3 linked regions of the Stegostoma tigrinum genome follow. The protein of the gene in region 1 binds, or shares a complex with, the protein of each later gene. Links are inferred from orthologs where the notes say so. Each region holds a gene or a part of one and is shown in the gene's direction. Other genes may lie near its edges. The genes, in order: ubiquitin-conjugating enzyme E2 E2, det1 and rlim.

Evidence for each region.
Region 2: the proteins of ubiquitin-conjugating enzyme E2 E2 (region 1) and det1 are in contact, whole or in part, in a cryo-EM structure (PDB 9BJZ), measured with the Homo sapiens proteins. The link is inferred for Stegostoma tigrinum from reciprocal best matches to the Homo sapiens genes UBE2E2 and DET1. Residues at the interface, in NP_001357154.1 of Homo sapiens: Ala77, Gly78, Pro79, Lys80, Gly81, Arg88, Ser89, Thr90, Gly101, Val103, Phe105, Phe123, Arg124, Thr125, Arg126, Ser134, Gln135, Gly136, Gln194, Trp195, Arg198, Tyr199, Ala200, Thr201; in NP_001137546.1 of Homo sapiens: Arg258, Phe259, Tyr261, Asp264, Thr267, Val268, Phe272, Glu274, Asp289, Pro290, Phe291, Ile292, His297, Arg298, Leu300, Val301, Trp304, Arg305, Phe319, Phe320, Gln321, Phe323, Asp324, Arg327.
Region 3: the proteins of ubiquitin-conjugating enzyme E2 E2 (region 1) and rlim are in contact, whole or in part, in a crystal structure (PDB 6W9A), measured with the Homo sapiens proteins. The link is inferred for Stegostoma tigrinum from reciprocal best matches to the Homo sapiens genes UBE2E2 and RLIM. Residues at the interface, in NP_001357154.1 of Homo sapiens: Lys52, Thr55, Lys58, Arg59, Lys62, Pro112, Asp113, Pro115, Phe116, Ile142, Asn146, Trp147, Ser148, Pro149, Ala150, Leu151, Thr152; in NP_057204.2 of Homo sapiens: Ser571, Val572, Cys573, Ile574, Thr575, Cys596, Arg599, Trp600, Pro608, Ile609, Arg611.

The regions. Positions count from the first base shown.
Region 1 is NC_081355.1:65,292,633-65,299,700, reverse strand, and holds the start of ubiquitin-conjugating enzyme E2 E2, read left to right. Parts: upstream 1-4,030; 5' UTR 4,031-4,116; intron 4,117-4,311; exon of another isoform or gene 4,312-4,515; 5' UTR 4,516-4,567; intron 4,568-5,301; 5' UTR 5,302-5,311; coding exon 5,312-5,487; intron 5,488-7,068.
Region 2 is NC_081386.1:24,626,277-24,633,978, reverse strand, and holds the start of det1 (DET1 homolog), read left to right. Parts: upstream 1-4,655; 5' UTR 4,656-4,766; intron 4,767-5,198; 5' UTR 5,199-5,322; exon of another isoform or gene 5,323-5,326; intron 5,327-6,714; exon of another isoform or gene 6,715-6,764; 5' UTR 6,765-6,815; coding exon 6,816-7,702. UniProt on the Homo sapiens protein: Component of the E3 ubiquitin ligase DCX DET1-COP1 complex, which is required for ubiquitination and subsequent degradation of target proteins. The complex is involved in JUN ubiquitination and degradation.
Region 3 is NC_081368.1:21,549,827-21,557,559, reverse strand, and holds the start of rlim (E3 ubiquitin-protein ligase RLIM), read left to right. Parts: upstream 1-4,662; 5' UTR 4,663-4,783; intron 4,784-7,688; exon of another isoform or gene 7,689-7,733. UniProt on the Homo sapiens protein: E3 ubiquitin-protein ligase.

The DNA.
Region 1 (7,068 bases):
TCTTTAATTAGCTAGGATAGTCACGAGACAGAGCAGAAAGATACAAGAGAACCTGATGCCTGCTAGATTTCAGATCAAATGAATTTGCTCCAACATATGTGAATACCCAGAGCAAGGAGCCAACTGTAGCTGAGGAGCATTCCTTTCCTGAGATAGTAGGAACTGCAGATGCTGGAGAATCTGAAATAACAAGGTGTAGAGCTGGATGAACACAGCAGGCCAAGCAGCATCTGAGGAACAGAATGGCTGACGTTTCAGGCCTGGAACCTTCTTCAGACCTTTCGGTCCAGGCCCGAAACGTCAGCTTTCCTGCTCCTCTGATGCTGCTTGGCCTGCTGTGTTCATCCAGCTCTACATCTTGTTATCTCAGCATTCCTGTCCTGAAGGGAACATGTGATTTCTAACATTTTGTGCTTATGTTCCTTTGTTTGCCGATACTGATTGTTCAAGTAAGTAGAAATATATGCTTTCCCAATATTGATTTAAGGCTAAATATTAGCTGGGACAACAGAGGTAAATCCGCTGCTCTTCTTCAAATATGCCATAGGATCTGACAGCACAGATGGGGCATCATTTTAAATTCTGATCTGATGTACAACATCTCCAATAATGTAGTATACTCTCAGTACCGAACTGGAGGGCTGTTTCATTTTGTATTCAACTTGTATTCATTTTATCTTGAACCCAACTTTTGATTCAGAGGTAACCACGTCACCAATTGCTGACACAATTGAATGATAAACTTCATTGTACCTGAATGGTACTTATTGTTTGGTAAAAGATGTCAAAAGCCATGGTTGTAGATGTTTTCTCAGAGTCAAGCTTTCATTCTTTCTCTTTAAATAAGTACGGCACAGGTTTGGTGCTATGTTCAAGGTTTGCCAATTGTCAAGGTCACCGTGATTTCCTGAAGCTCAACTGACCGTCCGAATGAATATTACTCAGAGCCTTTTACTTGTTCAGAGTCACATACAACATCTGAAAACTACTTTGTTTAATTTTCCCAGATTTGATACCTATTCAACATTGGGTAGGTTGGGCAGATATGAGTTCAGTGATGTACAAGGGAGACTTAATGGACAAAACACCCTGTAAGGATTTTTCTGTCTTTTTTCGTAAATTAATGGATGGGTGTCTTAAAATAAAGGTCTTGTGAGAGTTTTGATAAAGTGGACATGATTCCATGCATGTTTGCTCTGGTGACCTTATAAAAACCAAGTATTGCCAAAACAAAATCTTATTTGATTGATACAGGAAGCAATGTTATGCGCCTGAAGTTGAACTGGTTATATGAACGGATTGCTGATACTTTGAACTCTGGGATAGTCCAGCCATCTTACACAATTGTATTGACCAGATATTTTTCTCCAATTAGTCAATGGTAAAAATTGTTCCCTGTATTGAATAAAGCAGATTGTCTTTTTAGTCACCTTTGAACATCAAATTGTCTTCACATCTGTAGTGCAGCTTTGTTGGAGACAGCTACAGCAACATACTGATTTAATCTAGCACTTTTAACATTACAAAATGTATAAGCCATTTCTCGGAAGCATTATAAGGTAAAATTTGAGAACCGGCCATATAAAGAAATTTTAGGCACCATTCCCTAAAGCCAGATCAAAAGGTAGGATTTAAGACGTATCTTTAATAAAAGAAGTGAGGTTGAGGAAAGAAATTTCAGAGCTTAAGACCATCGATACTGGAGCCATTACCTTAGGAATGCTCAAGATGCTGAATTAGAGAAGTGCAGAGTATTGAAGGGTTGGAGCAAATTATTGGGATTTGGATGAGCAAGGCCATGGAGGTATATTTGAGAACAAGAATGAGAATTTCAAAAATAAGGGCTTGCTAGACCTGTAGCCAATGCAGGTCAGCTAGTACAGCAATGATGATTAAACTGGACTTGGTGTGAGTTAGAATTTGAGCAACAGAGTTTACAATGACCTCAAGTTTAAAGAACATAGAATGGGCAACGCCAGTCAAGTGTATCTGGGATAGCCAAGTCTAGAGGTAACAAAGTTTTAAATGAGGGCATCCTCAACAGATGAGATGAGTTAGGGGCAGAGGTGGACAATGTTATGGAAATAAGTGGTTTCAGTGATAGTATGGCTATGCCATCAAGGATTCATCTCAAAATGAAATTTGACACTAAGATTGCAAACAGTCTATTTCAGTCTCAGGTAACTGTCAGTGAGAGAAACAAATTCAGTGGTTATGGAATTAAATTTGGGGCAGGGATTGAATACTTCAGTCTGCCCAATATTTAATTGGTGAAATTTCTGTTCATCTAGTACTGTATCCAGAAAACAAGAGGACTGATAATTTAGAGACAGTGGAGGAGTTGGGTGAGCAGTGGTGTGGTAAGCTGGGTGTCATGGGTATACATGTGAAAACTGAAACTGCATTTTCAGATGTTCTTTCTAAGTGGCAGCGTGTGTATAAGAAACAGAAAGCAACCAAAAATAGATACTTGACGGAAGAGAGGTAAAAGTGCAGGAAAGAGATGTTTAGAAATTGAATATCTGTGCTGTACACGTATTGGCACTTTCAGGTCTATTATTCTATAAGAAATAGCCACTTAGACTCCTGTTGAAGTTTATAATGGTGGAAAATGGGAGATGGTGGGCTATCCAAGATAGCATTGGAATAGTCAAGCATGGAGGTAACAAAAGCACAAATTAGTGTTGCAGTAGCTGGTGAGCTGAGACAGGGATAAAAGTGAACAATTTACAGAAATGGAAGGAGGAGGTGATCTTGGTGAGGCAGAAGACATTGGATTGAGCTCAGTTCAGAGTTCAATAGATCAGTACATAAGAACATATGGGTTCAGAGCAGGAATGGGCCACATGTCCCCTAAAGTCTGCACAGGCATTTAATAAGGTTGTGGCTATTCTGATTGAAACCTCAAATCCACATTTCCAACTACTCCCAATAACCTTAAACTCCATTGCTTGCCAAGGATCTATCTGGCATTTTCTTTAAAAGTCTTTCACTGCTTTTTGAGGAAGAATTTCAAAGACATACAACCATCTGAGACAGAAAGACAGTCCTCATCTCTTGTAGTACTCAATTGAAGAGCCTGTGCAGGCACAATTGGCCAAATGGGCTCCTTTTGCATAGAAATAATTTTATGGTTCTGTCAATTAGCTATACATAGCTCCTCTCCAAAGTATTTAATTCTCTGTAAAGTGCTCTGAGATATTTCTGAAAAATGAGATAGGTACTCTCATAAATTTAAGACTTTTTTCACAAGAGAGGCTATAAATATACTTAAACAAAACAAGTTGTATTTATTTCTAACACACATGAAGGAAAGTTACATTTTAAAAAGACCTTTCACAAAGAGTTTTAACATTCCATCACAAGATCGTAATAAATTTAACATTCCCTTAGGTATAGGTTGGTTCGTTGTCATCCTATTCGAACAATTCCAACTGTTGTCTCAGATTGAATTTCAGACAATGTCAGAAACCACCGCACCAAACAGATTTCAGCATTTATGTTTGTTTCAGAATTTGTTCAATTTATGTAATTATTGTCCCTGCATTTAGATCAGGCTAGCAACCTGAATTGACAGCTCCTAAACATCACCAGAATGAATCAAATCTGACGATGCTCAGTGCAGCATGTATATCATTGACTGCGATGCGCCAAGTCTCCCACTGACTGTTTCTGGAGTAAGTGTTGGATTGAGATGATGATCGCGGTAGTCTGAGAAATTTGACGCAAGGACTCAGCGTGTTTACTGGATGTAGCCATTCCAGTCATTTCCCTTCACTCTCACACCCCATGTCGAAAATAAGCAGTTAGCCTGGCACCATAGAATTAATTAATCGTTTTGCTATTTTTTTTTTAAAAAGTCAGAAGAACAAACTACTTTAGAACAGGGACCGAACTGCTGTTTCTCTGGGAGTCACATGCAAAATCTGCACCTTTTGGTTGGGAATAGGATCCCTAACAGGAGGGCAGCTGGCGGGCGGTGGTCACCGGACTAATCCTGAAAGATCCGAGAACCTCCAAAGGGAAGACAGCGGGAATTCTGAATCAAGAAGTTGTTAACGGATCAATAGGGAGACGGCTCTTGCCCACTCACTGAATCAGCAGCGCGGAGTCGAGGTGTAACCGCCCGCCCTCGCGCCGTCACTCAAAGACAGAATGCGACGGTTGAATGGAGCACGCGCACAGCCGCGCCCCGCGTGTCCCCTTCCCGGCGATGCTCCTGGCTGGGAGAGTGTGCGCACTCGTGAGGCGCGTGTGCGCGCGCGGTGGCGAAAGCGCTGATTCAGTTTTGGGGCGCGCGAGCATGTGGTTCCGTGGAGACCGAGCGAGTCCGTGCGCGCGCGCCAGCGAGGATAGAAGCGGCGTCGGCAGCGGATAGCTAGATAGGGGAGAGGGGGCTTCTGCTCATGTGTTTGGGATTGGTGTCTCCTCCACTTTCTCACCAACATCACCAGTCAAACCCGTTTGGTTTCCGTCTGTTTCAACTCCTTTCTTACTTCCTTGTTTATTTTTCAGCGTAACCCGAAGACATAGACAGCGATTCCCCCCCACCCCAGTCACTGCTCAGGTAATAAGATTTTTAGGAAGAAGAAGAAGAAAAATGAGAATCACCTCCTTCTTTCCCCGTTACCCCATAGAACTTAGTGGCCCCTCTAAACGACTGGACAGTTTCCAAATCCGGCCTGAAAGTTAGAGTCGAGAGTGGATGGTGTTTAGCTGTTTTTGTGTGATATTCCTCTCTGTGTGTGTGAGGGAGATATTGGAAACGAGCAAGGCCTTTAAAGCATCAGTCACTGCACACTGGTTTGCAGTTTCTCATATCCGACTTTCTGCAAATGACAAACTGACCCCCCCCCCCACTTTCGCCCCAAATGACATACAGTCGGTGTTTAAAACCTCCTTCCGTCTGCTATTTAACCACATCAAGCGCAATTTGACGTGGCTGTGAAATGTTCGACTTATACTTCGCTGGTATTGTTTGTGTAACTGTTGGGATTTATACTTGGTCGGAAAAAATATAAATGTTACAAAACAATGCTGTTGTCGAAATTGAAACACGAAGAGACATGATGTTGACCTAACAATGTTTACATTCGGCGAATGTTTTAGATACAACTTAGATACACCTTGCGGTCGATTTCAAATCTGTATTGGAAATTACGTTTGTTTTTTGAAGCTGTTTCAGCGTTTGTGAAATGGGTTAAAAAGTTGGGATAGTGGATTGTGTCTTTTAATGATTTGAAACAAGATTGTCTTGAACTTCAAGTATTGCTCAATTAATATATTTGCTATAAATTCCAGAACGAGTAAGATGTCCAGTGAGCCGCAGACGGCTGATGACAGCCCCAGTACCAGTAGTGGCAGCTCAGATGGGGATCAGCGAGAAAGTACTCCTCAAGAACAAGAGAGGGAACAGCCACAGCCCAAGAAAAAAGATGCCAAGATTTCCAGTAAAACTGCTGCTAAACTTTCAACTAGTGCTAAAAGGTACCAACTTACTCGAAACTGATCATGTTGTTTGTCCTAGGAGGAATCCCATTATGTTTTATTAGCAAAATTAGATGAAGAATGAACCAAGACAATATAGCTTTCTTCTGATCTGAAGCCAGTGAGCTATTGTTCTATTCTTTTGACTGATGCAAGCGTGGACATTTATCTCTCTTGAATCGAATTTCCTCTGCAAGGCAAATGTTTTCAGTGAAAGTTTTATCTCAGCTTGGTACATTTAGTGATGGGAATGTAAACACATGTTCAAATGCTACCCCATAGAAGTATGGACCTACAGGTTGACAATTAGTGTTTTTTTGGTTCTGCTGTTAAACTTTGCCAACACAAGTCTCTCTTAACCATGCACCAGTGCCTGTACTGGTACCAAACTCCTGCAGCTAAACAATTATTGGATTCTGTAAGGGTTTAAATTTGAAGGTAGTTTTAAATGGGCCATTGATTCACAGTGAGCACATTTCACCTTGCTGACCTAGTTCAGTTGCACCCTCATGTTGCTTGAAGATTGTGTGCTCAGGCTATATTTCCTCATCCACCAAACACACCCTCTGGTCTGTATGAAACTACAAGACCGCAACACTATTAAAGGTCCCAGTCTTCAAATGACATGTAAAACTCAAGATTTTATCTGCCTATTTCAGTGGCTAAGATTAAGATTAAAGATTTGAGGAAAGCCCCAGAGTTCTGAAAATATTTTGACCAGCAGTATCTACTCAACAAATGGCTTCAAAAAAAGTAATGTGTTATTTGCTTACTTAGTTACCCATCTCATTACTACTTGTTGAACATGGCTAGGTGCAAAATGGTTGCCATGCTTTCTTAGTTCAAAGCAACTTGTTGTGTGGCATCATTAGGAATGGCTTGTGTCTCTACCTCTGGGCCAGATATTCCTCTTTTAAGTCATACCAGGATTTGCTGGCTATGGAAAGTGCATTTCTAACTTTGCCAATCTGCTTGATTGTCTTTCTGTAAATCCTTCCAATACAGATATTTCTGTTATAAAGTGTGTAGCACAATTGAGGAATAGTGGACACTGTTTGGATAATGTGAGGTTTCTAATGTACAGTATCGCAATTTCCTTATAAGCTGATTTTTCTATAGTAAGAGGCCGCACAAAAATGCAACTATCGTGTTACAGGAGAACTAGCTGTAAGTGTGATGACAAACTAAGTGGGAGAGTTGCCTGATTAGCCATCTTGATGGGAGCAATAGCAATTGCTGCAATACGTTGCTCATAAATTTGAACCAATCCAACGAAAGTCCATGCCCAACCACATAACCAAGACTAAGAGAAAAGCTTGGCAGCATATTAAACTTTACCTTGTCAAAGTGAAATGGTGCTGTATATTTTCCAACTTTTTTGTTTGATTAAAAAATTCTCTTTACAAACATACAAACATTCAAAATTGAAACATAAGTAGACCATTTGCTCCCTCATACCTGCTCCACCATTGAACGAGATCTCTTTGTTTAAAATTCCATACTTAATCTATTCTCAATAAACATTTATTGGCTTGCCTAACAAGAAACTATGTAACTTGGCCTTAAATATTTAATAACATG
Region 2 (7,702 bases), on another chromosome or scaffold:
GACCTTGTTATCACCCAATTCCGATTCACAAGCAACTTTAGGTAGCATGGTGGCTCAATGGTTAGCACTGCTGCCTCCCAGCAACAGGGACTCAGATTTGGCTCCAGCCTTGTGTGTGGAGTTTGTATATTCTCCCAGTGTCTGTGTGGATTTCCACCGGGTGGACCAGTTTCCAACCACAGTCCAAAGACGTGCAGGGTAGGTACATTGGCCGTGCTAAATTATCCCATAGTGATGTGCAGGCTAGGTGGATAGCTGTGATAAATACTGGTTTACAAGAATAGGGTGCAGCTTTGGGTCTGAGCAGGATGCTCTTCAGAGGGTTAGTGTAGACTTGATGGGCCAAATGACCTCCATCTGCACTATAGGGAATCTATGGACTTCGAACAGGAGGCATTCACTGAAGAGTGATTGTACAAACAGGCGAATTAGGACCACAAGAATGCTATTCAGCCCTTCAAACCTACTCCACCATTCAATAAGCCTGTGATTGATCTGACTGTACAACTCCATTTTCCCTGCTATCCCTTTGATAATCATTGACTCCCTTATTAGTGAATCTATCTACCTCTGCCTTTAAAATATTTGATGACACTGCCTGTAAGCAATGAGTATGCTGCTTGGTGACTATTCCCCTGACTGTGGCTGGTCATAGCTGTTGTCACTCATCATAGATTGGAGTGTGTTACATTCTGGATAACTAGATTCTGATTTAATTCATCCATAGCATGCTGTCAGAACTGTGTTCAGTACTGATCTTTGGTTGCTTTGAGAAGGTGGCACTTGACCTTCTTCTTGGATTGTTGTAGCTGTTGTAATGCTCCCACCATTGTGGCTGATGCTGTGAACTGCAAGACCTCGACCCAGGAGTGATGAGAGGGGGATGCTATTTATCCAAGACAGATTTATGTGTGACTTAATGGGGAACACTCAGCTGATGAACCTTTGTTGTTCACTCTTTGTGGTCAAGGTTGCAGGGCTGTAGGTGCTTTTGAAGTAGAAGGGGCATTGTTGAAAGGTATTCTATAGATTGCACACAGTGCTTCAAACAGAGGGTGGTGAGGCGAGCAGTTATAGTGATTTGTGTCTGGGTGGCATTAAGCTTTAATTTGAGTGATGTTGTATCTGCAGGATTCTAGGTGAGTGTCATATTTTATTACTCTGAATATGAGTCTTGAGGACCATTGTGAGGTTAGCCACTAGTTTCAGAGTACCTAGCCCTTGCTAGACTGTTGTGTCAAACACAGGAGTGAAACTATTACAATATATGCAATAGAGAGAGGGTAACACACAATCTCAAATGTATTACACACTGGTTAGAAATGTAACATCTCAGAAAACATAAATTTGACAGTATATTATGGAATAGTAATTTATAAATACGTGACAGACAGGATGAAATGTCTTTCGCAAAGCATGGAAATTATTACACTCTGGACAATATCTGGTTGGCACTGCACACCAATGATACGAGCTGAAGTGGACAGCACATAGGATAATGCACAGTGTATCCTTGTTTAATTCCCTAAAAGGACATGGGTGACAGAGGCTAGGCCGGCAATTACTGCCTGTCCTTAGTTGTGATTGAAAAGGTGGTGGCGAGCTGTCTTCTTGAACTGCTGCATTTTGACACAGCAACATGGAAGGATTGGAGATATATTTCCAAGTCAGGATGGTGATTGGCTTGGAGGGGAGTTTGCAGGTGGTCGTGTTCCCATTTGTCTGCTGCCCATGTCCTTCTAGAAGGAAGTGATTATGAGTTTTGAAGTTGTTGTCTTAACGATCTTTGGAGAATTTCTGCAGTGCATCTTGTAATACACACTGCTGCTACTGAGCATCAATGGTGGGTGAGTGATTGAATGTTTGTGGATGTGGTGTCAATCAAATTGGCTGCTTTGATCTGGATGGTATTGAGTTTCTTGAGTGTTGTTGCAGCAATCCAGGCAAGTGGGGAGTATTCCATCATACTCCTCACTTGTGCCTTGGAGATGTTGGACAAGCATTGGGGATTCAGGAGTAAAGTTACTTGCTACAGTATTCCTATCCTCTTACCTGTTCGTGTAACCATGTATGTACACAGTGATAATGGGAACTGCAGTTGCTCGAGAATCCAAGATAACAAAGTGTGGGCTGGATGAACACAGCAGGCCAAGCAGCATCTCAGGAGCACAAAAGCTGACGTTTCGGGCCTAGACCTCCGATGAAGGGTCTAGGTCTGAAATGTCAGCTTTTGTGCTCCTGAGATGCTGCTTAGCCTGCTGTGTTCATCCAGCTTCACACTTTATTATCTTATGTACACAGTGAGTTCAGTTGAGTTTCTGGTCAGCAATATAATGTTGAAAGTAAGGGATCATTGATGGTAACTCCATTTAATATAAAAGGTTGGTTGTTAGATTGTCTCTTACTGGAGGTGGTTATTCCCTGGCATTTGTGATACACAAATGACACTTGTCACTTTTCAGACCACGTTTGGATATTGTCCACTTCTTGGAGGATTTGAATGTAGACTACTTCAGTATCTAAGAAGTTGTGAATGGTGTTGAACTTCCCTGCTTCTAATCCTATGATGGAGGGAAGATCATTGTTGAAGTAGCTGAATGTGGTTGGGACTAGGACACTATCCTGAAGAACTTCTGCAGAGAGATGTCCTGGAGTTGAGATGACTGACCTTCAAATGCCACGGCCATCTTCCTATGTGCCAGGTAAGACTCCAAGCAGTGAAGTTTCCCCCTGATTCTCATTGGCTGCAATTTTATTAGGGCTCATTGATACAACATTTAGTCAAATGCAGTTTTGATCAAGGCTGCCATTTGCGTCTCATCCTCACCTGAATGCACACATGGTAATGCACAAGATGGAATAACATACAAGCTGCATTGTAGTACTTAGGATAACAGAATGATTAGAATGTGCAACACAAGAAGTATGTTATGGAATGATGTATGTTTCATGCCAGTTAACTCACAGAATTGGCAAGACATTGTGATGAAATCCATTTTGTTTATATCCATTTGTGTTGTGTGGGCTAATGGCCCAATGAACTGCTCCATAGGCATGTGATGTTCCAATGCTTGCTGCATTCAGTCTTACTCAGGAACAAAGCTGGGGCTCAGTGTTTCATGAGGTCACTCAAAACAGTTCAATGTTTACACAGCAGGCAGTTTTTAATTAGTTATGTGGAGGCAGGTGAAGCAGAAGGTTGCTACCTTTGGGCTGCAGTTCAGTAAGGTAGAGAGGGGCAGAGGAAGAGGGCCCACAGCAAAAATGAGGCTGCTGTAGTAGGATCCAGAAAGATAGGGCTCAGAGAACCTTGGAGCCAGTAGATGTAATAAAGAAATAGTAGAAACTGCCGATGCCGGAGAATCTGAGATAACATGGTGTGAAGCTGGATGAACACAGCAAGCTAAAGAGTTGGGATTAGGGCTCAGATGCAGTTGTGGGAACCATCAGAGCAATGGGGCCTTGGAGGAAGTCAAGAAATCATTGCTAGTTCAGTGAACTTAAGTATGCACTGAAGGTGGGCCACAGGTGGTATTTGTTTGATAGAGCTAAAGTAATATTTGAGCTTTAAGTAACTGGGGACAATTCTAAACTTAGCAAAACTGGCTGTGTGTGAATAGTTATAAATACACCTGTGTGTAGGTATTGGAGGGCAATCTCCAGAATCCAGTGGAACAGGATATTGGGGAAAGAGATTAAAATGCCTGGCTTTAAGGAGTCATTGAGGGCAGTCAATGACAAAGCAAGATATTCCAGAGTAAGAACTGGAATTCCTTGTCAGGGAGACAATGTTTTAATGAGATTTGCTGATCTACAATGTCACTAACACCTAGGGGATTGCTGAGAAATCTGTGGGCTTCATGTGTTGCTTAAATCTTTGAGACATCTTACCCTTTATGGGTAATCTGAGGCAAACAAGGCACTTCTCAGATCTACAAGTAACTACTTTAGGACTTTTCATGAGTTTGCATGATAGACAGCAAGAAATAGTCTGATCCTGCCAACAAACAGTATGACTTTGATCCACACAATTTCAGCATCAAGTTTGGACTTTGATGATTGGCTCAGGCCCCATTTACAAGGTTTCTGATAAAACCAATCTTATAGTACATGGAACTGTGAGATTGCAACATGTGCATTGACCAGTGGAGGCAGGCTTTCAGTCAATTGTAGTAGAGAAGGCCCCAGCTGGTTGTCCCTTTGAATTGGTATTCATGCAAATTGTCCTGATGTGTGCAAAATGAAAACTGTGGCAATATGTGTTCTTTTCAACAATAACAAATATTTATTAACTACTTACTCTATTTGCAGAGACAAAGTTGGGCAGGATTCATTAGAACTTACTTCCCTCAGGTCGTAATTTGTCATTATTTGACTTTGCCAATGATGTACTGTGGCTATTCGCACAACATTGTACCCTAACCTAGGTCAGTGTTTCGGGTGAGGAAAGGGTAAAAGTGGGGTAAGGGTGAAAAATTAGACATATTGTTGATTTCGTTGATTTACTCTGGCTCCAACGGATTGGTGACAACAGAAAAATGGAGAGAGAGAGGCTGGAGCGCCCTCTAAAGGCAGAACGTGGAAAGTGCAGGGTGAAAGTCCCTTGTCTTCTTTGGGGGGGCGCTGCGGATGCGCGGTGCATTGTAGGATAGGCTGCCCGGAGCTGGATGACTCTCTCTAGGGGCTGCCGCGCTGTACTTTGGAGTTGGTGAGGAGCTGGGCGGTGAACGGGATCTCTGGCCTGGCTATTGTACCGTGTGGATGAGGTGAGTGTGGTAGGCCCCGAGGAGAGAGTGAGGGAGTGCCCTGATAGTAGACATTCGGCTGTGGGACACATCAGCCCAGGGTCACTGTTTGGGAGCGCCAAGGACGGGAGCTGGCCTTGTATGAGCTTCTTTGATTGTCTGGTGGTTGTCCTCTTTCTGTGCAGAACGGTTAACAATTAATCTGTAAGTTTGTTTCATTAGTTTGACAGCCAAAGCCTGCATGTATCTGCCCATTTCTTCATGAATCACGTTCTCAAAGTGTTAAAATTGAAGATTGCTGCTCATTTGTAGGGATTAAAAAAGGGGTGAAGTAGTTGTAGGGTCCCTACCTCCGAGCTAGGAGGCCCGGATTCAAGCCCAGTCTGCCCCAGTGATGTTTCAGAACACATCTGAACAGGTTCATTAGAAAATATCTATATTTTCTTTTTCAAGCTTATTGACTAACTGGCAAGAGAGGTCCATGTATTTGGTGCACCATTTTTCTCATGCTCACATCAACAGAACTGGTTGCGAATATCTACCCAAAAGGCCATTCACATGCTCACTTCAGCATTCTGTAGGTAAGATTACATTTGACTTTTCTGCCAAATGTAGAGTTGTAGCACGTCAGGATCTCTTGAGCAGCAGTTAAATTCCTTTTTTTGAGAACGTATGGTGGGATTGAAAAAAGAAAAGATTAGAAAAGAATCCACTGAAAGGAAATCTGGGATTCAAATTGGGTAATCACACATAGGCTGAGAAGGTTCGCTTGGGGTGATTGGACATCATTCAAGATTATTGAAAATAAGAGTAGTAGCCACAGACCGGAAGGTGGCTAATATAGTGTTGGCTTGGGAAAAATCCTTTAAATTTGTTTAGTGTAGGAGACACAGCTATTGTTATATTCTTAATCAAACCTTTGTATCCTTAGAGGCTGCTTCTTGATATGGTAAGAAGGATTTTTAGAAGTAAAACTGCGCCATTCATACAAGCCAGGCATTGGTCTTTATATGATGTGATTCAGTGTAATGACTGTGAGAATTGACAGTACGTTGGATGTAAGGCAAAAGCAACACAATGGAATGGAAGAAATAGGTTGTTTTAAAGGATATTTTAACTTCATGCCACCACTAGTGTTGGACTTTACCCCCAGTACTCATGTATTGCACTGTTCAAAATGCTTTCTTTGGATCAGCCTGTGTTTAGGAGGACATAATTCGTAATGGTCTGTTTTTTTAAAATTTCCACTAGGTAAAGAACAAAATTTCAAACCTGCATATGTAGCAATTTATTAACTGCTGGACCATCATAAATGGTTGCAGTACAAAGGAGGCCATTGTGTCCATATTTGCAAGAGCATTTCAGCTAGTCTTATGCCTTTTTGTCCCCCCTGTAGCCTTGCAATTTTTTTTTAACAGATAGTTATCCAATGCCCTTTTGAAATTTATAGTTGAATCTGTGTCCATCATACCCTTAGATTGTACTTCCCAGATCTGAGCCACTCACCGCTTTAAAAAAAAGTTTATCTTTGGTTCTTTCGCCAGTCACTTCAAATCGATGTTCTGTGGATCTTGATCCTTTTGGATATGGGGACAGTTTGTCATCATTGTTCTGTCTCGATCACTCATGTTCTTAAACATCTCCATCAAATCTCCTCTCAACTTTCTCTAAAGGCTATAGTCCTGCTCCTGTAATCTATCCTCATTACTGCAGAGCCTCATCCCTGGAACAACACCTTTCCTGTGCCCTCTCTAATGCATCAAGCAAAAGGTAGACAAGTACTCATTGGATAAATAACAGACAATGATTCAGAGAGAATCCTGCTTATTTATATTTTCTTTCTGATATTCTGATTACTGACTAGATGACAGACTCTGCTTTTCAGTATTCCGTTTACTGGTGTAGATACAACATATGGTTCTGAAGAAGGTCGCTGGACTTGAAACGTTAATTTTGCTTCTCTTTACAGATGCTGCCAGACTTGCTGAGTTTCTCCAGCAATTTCTGTTTTTTTTTCAGATTTCCAGCATTCGCAGTTCTTTGTTTTACAAGATGTGGTGATGGCTGAGAATGGATGATGATGAACCCACCATCAAACCTCGTCGCATCGAGAATCAGAATGTTGTTTACCGCCTGGAGCGCCGGAGGATCTATTCCGGCAGGCCTGGAGCTCACTGGTACATGGTGCGTTGCCTGCATCAGAATGTGTTTCCCAACTTCACTGTGGTTAACGTAGAAAAGCCGCCGTGTTTCCTGCGTAAGTTCTCTCCTGATGGCCGCTATTTCATTGCATTTTCCCTGGACCAAACCTCATTGGAGATCTATGAATACCAGGGCTGTCAGGCAGCTGAGGACCTCCTTCAGGGCTACGATGGGGAGATCATGCTGAATGGTGCCAATGATCTGCAGTCTGTCAACATCCGCGGCAAATTGTTTGAGCGCTTCTTTGTCCTGCTGCACGTCACTAGCGTAGCGTCGAATGGGGAGCACCTGAATCGTGAGTGCAGTTTGTTTACTGATGATTGCCGGTATGTCATTGTTGGCTCTGCTGCTTATCTCCCTGAGGAGCCTCATCCTCTCTTCTTTGACGTTTACCGAAACAATGAGTCTGTTACACCAAACCCTCGCTCACCGTTAGAAGATTACTCTCTGCACATCATTGACCTGCACACAGGGAGTCTTTGTGACACGAGGACCTTTAAGTGCGACAAGGTCATTCTCTCGCACAACCAAGGGCTCTACCTGTATAAGAATATCTTGGCTATCCTCTCTGTGCAGCATCAGACCATTCATGTGTTCCAAGTTACCCCAGAAGGAACTTTCATCGATGTTCGAACCATTGGGCGCTTCTGTTATGAAGATGACCTCCTCACTGTTTCAGCCGTGTATCCTGAAGTGCAGGGTGACACGCAAAATGCCCCGTCACGCCCTTTTAAGGAGAAAACGTTGAACTCTTT
Region 3 (7,733 bases), on another chromosome or scaffold:
TAGGTACTTTGCATGAGTCTTCGTGGTGACATATCAGAACTTCAAGGGGGCAGAGTGAATGTTGTGGTCATCTCTAAAGAGAGAGTGTTGGGAAAGCTGAAATAGCTGCAGATGCATAAAACACCTGCACCGGATGGACTGTTTACCAGAGTTCTGACGGAGATAGCTAAAGCAATCGTGGAAACATTGGTGGTGATCTTTCAGGAATCACTGGAGTCAGGGAAGGTCCCAGAGGACAAGAAAATGGCTAATGTAATACTCCTGTTTAAGATAGGAGGGAGGCAGAAGATGAGAGATGACAGACTGGTTACCTGAACTTTGTTGTTGGTCGGAAATTAAAGTCTGCTAATAAGGATAAGATTGCAGAGTACTTGTAAGTGCATGATAAAATAGGGCTGAGTCAGCATGGCATCTTGAAGGGGAGGTCACACCTGACAAATTTTGTTAAAAGTCTTTGAGGAGGTAACAAGCAAATTATACAAAGGAACAGGAGTGGATACGATCTGTTTGGATTTCCAGAAGGTTTTTGATAAGGTGCTGCACGGGAGTTTAGAAGGATGTGGAAAGGGGGTGGAGTTTCTCATTGAAACTTAAGAGGCCTGAGTACAGTGGACGTGGAGAAGAATTTTCCACTAGTAGGAGAGACTAGGGCCTGAGGGCACCGCTTCACCACGACCCTTTAGAACTGAGAAATTTTTTTAGCCAGAATGTGGTGAATCTGTGGAATTCATTGCTATAGAGTGCTGTGGAGGCCAATTCATTGAGTGTATTTAAAGAGGTAGATAGGTTCTTGATTGGTAGTGGGGTCAATGGTTAAGAGGAGAAGGCAAAAGAATGCAGTTGAGAAATATATATTTTTGAATATGCAATGAACAGGATTAATGAAGGCAAAGTGGTGGACATGATCCATATGGACTTCAGTAAGGCGTTCGAGAAGGTTCCACATGGTAGACTGGTTAGCAAGGTTAGCTCACATGGAATATAGAACTAGCCAATTGGATACAGAGTTTACTTAAAGATAGGAGACAGAGTGTGGTGGTGGAGGGTTTTTTCTTGGACTAGAGGCCTTTGACCAGCGGTATGCCTCAAACATCGGTATTGGGTCCACTGCTTATTCATCATTTATATAAATGATTTGGATGTGAACATAGGGTTATGGTTAGTAATTTTACAGACGACAACTAAATTCGGTGGTGTTGTGGACAGCCGGGAAGGTTACCTCAAAGTACAATGGGATCTTGATAAGATGGGCTGGTGGGCTGAGGTGTTGCAGACAGAGTTTAATTTAAATAAATGTGAGGTATTGCATTTTGGAAAGGCAAGTCAAGGCAGCACTTATATACTTCATGGTATTGTTGCTGAGAGTGTTGCTGAACAATGAGACCTTGGAGAGAGATAATGGGAACTGAAGATGCTGGAGAATCCAAGATAATAAAGTGTGAAGCTGGATGAACACAGCAGGCCAAGCAGCATCTCAGGAGCACAAAAGCTGACGTTTCGGGCCTAGACCCTTCATCAGAGAGGGGGATGGGGTGAGGGTTCTGGAATAAATAGGGAGAGAGGGGGAAGCAGACCAAGGATGGAGAGAAAAGAGGATAGGTGGAGAGGAGAGTATAGGTGGGGAGGTGGGGAGGGGATAGTTCAGTCCAGGGAAGACGGACAGGTCAAGGAGATGGGATGAGGTTAGTAGGTAGGAGATGGAGGTGCGGCTTGGGGTGGGAGGAAAGGATGGGTGAGAGGAAGAACAGGTTAGGGAGGCAGAGACAGGCTGGACTGGTTTTGGGATGCAGTGGGTGGAGGGGAAGAGCTGGGCTGGTCGTGTGGTGCAGTGGGGGGGAGGGGACGAACTGGGCTGGTTTTGGGATGCGGAGGGGGAAGGGGAGATTTTGAAGCTGGTGAAGTCCACATTGATACCATTGGGCTGCAGGGTGCCCAAGCCGAATATGAGTTGCTGTTCCTGCAACCTTCGTGTGGCATCATTGTGGCACTGCAGGAGGCTCATGATGGACATGTCATCTAAAGAATGGGAGGGGGAGTGGAAATGGTTTGCGACTGGGAGGTGCAGTTGTTTATTGCGAACCGAGTGGAGGTGTTCTGCAAAGCCGTCCCCAAGCCTCCGCTTGGTTTCCCCAATGTACAGGAAGACACACCGGGTACAATGGATGCAGTATACCACATTGGCAGATGTGCAGGTGAACCTCTGCTTAATATGGAAAGTCATCTTGGGTCCAAAACCAGCCCAGTTCGTCCCCTCCCCCGACTGCACCACACAACCAGCCCAGCTCTTCCCCTCCACCCACTGCATCCCAAAACCAGTCCAACCTGTCTCTGCCTCCCTAACCTGTTCTTCCTCTCACCCATCCCTTCCTCCCACCCCAAGCCGCACCTCCATCTCCTACCTAATAACCTCATCCCACCTCCTTGACCTGTCTGTCTTCCCTGGACTGACCTATCCCCTCCCCACCTCCCCACCTCCCCACCTATACTCTCCTCTCCACCTACCTTCTTTTCTCTCCATCTTCGGTCCGCCTCCCCCTCTCTCCCTATTTATTCCAGAACCTTCACCCCATCCCCCTCTCTGATGAAGGGCCTAGGCCCGAAACGTCAGCTTTTGTGCTCCTGAGATGCTGCCTGGCCTGTTGTGTTTGTCTAGCTTCACACTTTATTACAATGAGACCTTGGAGTACAGGTTCATAGTTCTTTGGAAGTAGAGTCACAGATAGGTAGCGTAGTGAAGGAGGTGTATAGTGTGCTTCCCTTTCTTGGTCAGTGCAACGGGACTTGGGAGGTCATGTTCTGGTTGGTTGGATATTGGTTCGGCCACTTTTGGAAACCTGCATGCATTTCTGACCTCCCTATTACTGGAAGGATGTTGTGAAACTTGAAAGGGTTCAGAAAAGATTTATGAGGATGTTGCCAGGGTTGGAGGGCTTGAGCTATAGGGAGAGACTGAATAGGCTGGGGCTATTTTCCCTGGAGCATTGGAGGCTGAGAGGTAACCTCATAGAAGTTTATAAAATTATGACGGCCATGGACAAGGGGGATAGACAGGTCTTTTTCCTGGGGTAGTGCAGTCCAAACTAGAGGCATAAGTTTGAGGTGAGAGGGGAAAGATTTAAAAGGTACCTAAGGGGCAAATTTTTCACACAGAGGATGGTGCATGTATGGAATGGGATGCCAGAGGAAGTGGTAGAGCTTGGTCCAATTACAACATTTAAAAGGCATCTGGATGGGTAAATGAATAGGAAAGATTTAGAGGGATACAGGCCAAATGCTGGGAAATGTCTCCAAATTAATTTAAGATATCTGGTTTGCAAGGATGATTTGGACTGAAGGGTCTGTTTCCATGCTGTACAGCTCTGTGACTCAATAAACATGATCGAATGGTGAGCAGACTCAGTAGACCAGAAGGCCTGATACCGCTCCTATATCTTATGGTACTAATATATAGTTAATTCCTCACTTGCTTAATCAAGTCATAATTATTGAAAACTAACTCAAGTCTACATGGGTTGCAGATAATTGTGGTTGAGCATATCACGTAACAGCTACAATCAGATTGTGCAGATTCTCAGCAATTTACCCCCTCCCAGTCAAGGCTAGTGACACCGAAGAACACCAAATCTCATTAAAATTTGGAATCTGCATTCTCGCACTTGCTGTCAGGATCAATTGCAACTTTTCACAGATAGCTTCACCAAGTTAGCATTTTGACTGAAATTTTTTGACTTTTAAGTTTGCTCAGCTGTGCAAAGCAAATACTATTTCTGGGATTTTCAACCACCATCTTCAGCTACAGTGAGGTATTAATTGACTGCAACTTTATTCTGAGGTCCTCAGTTTCCAGACATTCCAGAGCACTGACTCTAACATTGTGCTGCTCAGAATTATCCAATGTTCTGCTAGACTTTTCTCTGAGCTTCACAATACAGAAAGAGCAGTGTTCTCAACATTAGATTTCTCATGGAGCCTGCTTTTGGCTCCCTTACTCACTCTCCAACCACATATAACTCTTGAATTCTTGAAATCTATGAAATATTCTGAGCGACTCATTGCAACAAGCCTGATCTTGTTCCTTGGCAGGACTGAATTTTAAATAGGGGAACTCAAATGAAGAAAGTGCTTGGACCTGTCTATTCCCTCGATGTTCACAACCTGCTGGGGTACACTGGGAATAACAGGGCTCTTATGCCAGCAGACCTGGGTTTACACCCCACCTGCTCCAGAAGTATGTCTCTGACCAAGTAGAATAGAAAATATTTGTACAAAAGAGAGGATTTCATCACATTCTCTCCACATCTGCTGTCTGGCCTTTATTTATTATTATTATTAATTCACAAGATGAGCACATCACCGGCTGGTCCAACATTTATTGTCTATCCCTAAATGCCCAGGGGGCAGTTAAGAGTCAACCACCTTATTGTTGCTGAGAAATTCCTGGTACTTATTTTGTGTATATTTAAACATCTGCTTTAATATGACAGTAAATATAATCGAATGCATAGGGATATGAACTGCAGTTCTTTTAAAGTAAAAAAAAACTGCTTTGATTCATGCTTTCTTGCAGAGGCGATGATGTCGTGCCCGGAATCTTTCTCCAGGAGTTGAGCCGTTGTGCGGGCTGGTGGGATGGTTTTGGGTAGCGGTTCCCACCTGCCGGGGGGATGACAGAAGCGGCGGGACACTGCGCTGGTTTCCTGTTTCCGCTTGTCTCTCCCACTCTAACAATGGTGGTAACGGTGTGAGCGGCCCGACCCGAACGGATCGAACTCGACGTGAGCAGGTGAGGGCGCCCGGGGCCGGAGGGCTCTCACGGCCGGTGCTGGCAGATCGCGGTTGGCGGCGCCTATTGATTTCTTCTCGCCCTTCTCTGTCCTCCCTGTCGCCGGTCGCGCACACCCTGCTGCGTACGGCAGCTTGTGAACAGGCCGATGGGGAACCGGCGCCGGGGAAAGGCCCAGGCTCTGCGGCCTAATCTCAGCCATGGCGGGGCGTGGATAAGACGGCCGGGGATTCCGTGAGGGTTTAACCACCCCATCTCCCATGTTTTTTCCCCTAAACTCCGGGCTGCTTATTCTTCCCGCCGGTTTACAAAACCAATCCCTCCTTTTTTTAAAAAAAAGTCGGCGTCTTTTGAAACAGTCCCCTTCTCAGCGCAATTACTTCAGATAAAATCACCAGGTGTTTCCATATTTTTAAAGCCTGATTGCTCCCGGTTTGTTTTCTTTTTGGTTGGGCCACTTTGTCTTTTTTGTTTGTCTTGATGAAATTATTCGGAGCTAATTTACTATTTTCTCCTGTGTCACTGCCTACCCTTGGAGCTATGGGAGGGAATGCTGGAGGGAAGGATGAGTGTTTTTTTAATGCTAATACGGTTCGTCAACAGGTTCAGTTTCCTGTCTTAGTGCGAATTTATTTTTGTGTTCTCCTTTTGCCCCCTCACTGTCGCCTTGGTAATAATCACCGATTGATCTACAATAGAAGTCTGGCGCATTACGATCTTTGTGATTGCGTAACTGGCTTTATGTAGGTCAATAGTGCAATATAGCAGAAGATAGAAATACACTGGTGCTTTGAAACAAAAAAATGATGCTTTTGAGCGAAGTCTTGAAGCTTCCTTCTTTCTCAGGTTGGTGTATGTTTGGACTTAAGTGGGATATTAATGGTGACGATAGCGTAAAACAGGCATTCATTGCTTTTGTGATAATGGGAACTGCAGATGCTGGAGAATCCGAGATAATAAAATGTGAGGCTGGATGAACACAGCAGGCTCAGGAGCACAAAAGCTGACGTTTCGGGCCTAGACCCTTCATCAGAGAGGGGGATGGGGTGAGGGTTCTGGAATTAATAGGGAGAGAGGGGGAGGCGGACCAAAGATGGAGAGAAAAGAAGATAGGTGGAGAGGAGAGTACAGGTGGGGAGGTAGGGAGGGGATAGGTCAGTCCAGGGAAGACGGACAGGTCAAGGAGGTGGGATGAGGTTAGTAGGTAGGAGATGGAGGTGCGGCTTGGGGTGGGAGGAAGGGATGGGTGAGAGGAAGAACAGGTTAGGGAGGCAGAGACAGGTTGGACTGGTTTTGGGATGCAGTGGGTGGAGGGGAAGAGCTGGGCTGGTCGTGTGGTGCAGTGGGGGGAAGGGGACGAACTGGGCTGGTTTTGGGATGCGGTGGGGGAAGGGGAGATTTTGAAGCTGGTGAAGTCCACATTGATACCATTGAGCTGCAGGGTTCCCAAGCCGAATATGAGTTGCTGTTCCTGCAACCTTCGGGGGGCATCATTGTGGCACTGCAGGAGGCCCATGATGGACATGTCATCTAAAGAATGGGAGGGGGAGTGGAAATGGTTTGCCACTGGGAGGTGCAGTTGTTTATTGCGAACCGAGCGGAGGTGTTCTGCAAAGCGGTCCCCAAGCCTCCGCTTGGGGACCACTTTGCAGAACACCTCCGCTCGGTTCGCAATAAACAACTGCACCTCCCAGTGGCAAACCATTTCCACTCCCCCTCCCATTCTTTAGATGACATGTCCATCATGGGCCTCCTGCAGTGCCACAATGATGCCCCCCGAAGGTTGCAGGAACAGCAACTCATATTCGGCTTGGGAACCCTGCAGCTCAATGGTATCAATGTGGACTTCACCAGCTTCAAAATCTCCCCTTCCCCCACCGCATCCCAAAACCAGCCCAGTTCGTCCCCTTCCCCCCACTGCACCACACGACCAGCCCAGCTCTTCCCCTCCACCCACTGCATCCCAAAACCAGTCCAACCTGTCTCTGCCTCCCTAACCTGTTCTTCCTCTCACCCATCCCTTCCTCCCACCCCAAGCCGCACCTCCATCTCCTACCTACTAACCTCATCCCACCTCCTTGACCTGTCCGTCTTCCCTGGACTGACCTATCCCCTCCCTACCTCCCCACCTGTACTCTCCTCTCCACCTATCTTCTTTTCTCTCCATCTTTGGTCCGCCTCCCCCTCTCTCCCTATTAATTCCAGAACCCTCACCCCATCCCCCTCTCTGATGAAGGGTCTAGGCCCGAAACGTCAGCTTTTGTGCTCCTGAGATGCTGCTTGGCCTGCTGTGTTCATCCAGCCTCACATTTTATTCATTGCTTTTGGTGTGGTTTACTTTGCAATATAATTAAGTGAGAATATGTCTGATGTTTGTAAAATGAAAACTTCATGTGAACAAATTGTTCTGTTTTGTTGACTTTTTTTCCCTCAAGCTTGAGGGTACACTAAACAGAGAGCTAAGATTGCTATATGCAAGAAACGTGGAATTTGGGCATGTGCTGTGGAGTAATTCAAACTTTCTGACTGGTTGCCTTTGAATTTATCTCAACTTTGATTTTAAAAAATCAAACTGTATCTCCCTCTTACACATACTCTTTGTTACAGGGATAATAAAGATTTTTGTCGATTTTTCAGTTGCCATTTCTTCCATCACAGTTCAGTGATTATTAACATTTATAAGTTACATCATTAACAGTGATGGCAGACTTGCGCATTGGGTGATGAATGTACAGTACTAAGAATTCTTTATTTAGAATAGATGTAAATTTATAGTTTTTAATTCCATCTGGGTGTGAGGTATATTGATTTCCTTGTACTTGATCAAAACGTGACCAGTGATTTTTATTGTTCTCAATAATTATCTTTACAAATTTAACAATCTTGTTTTCTGTATGTTTTTCAGTACCCTCCAATAACGCTGCACAGTGTTACGGGTTATTCATTTGGT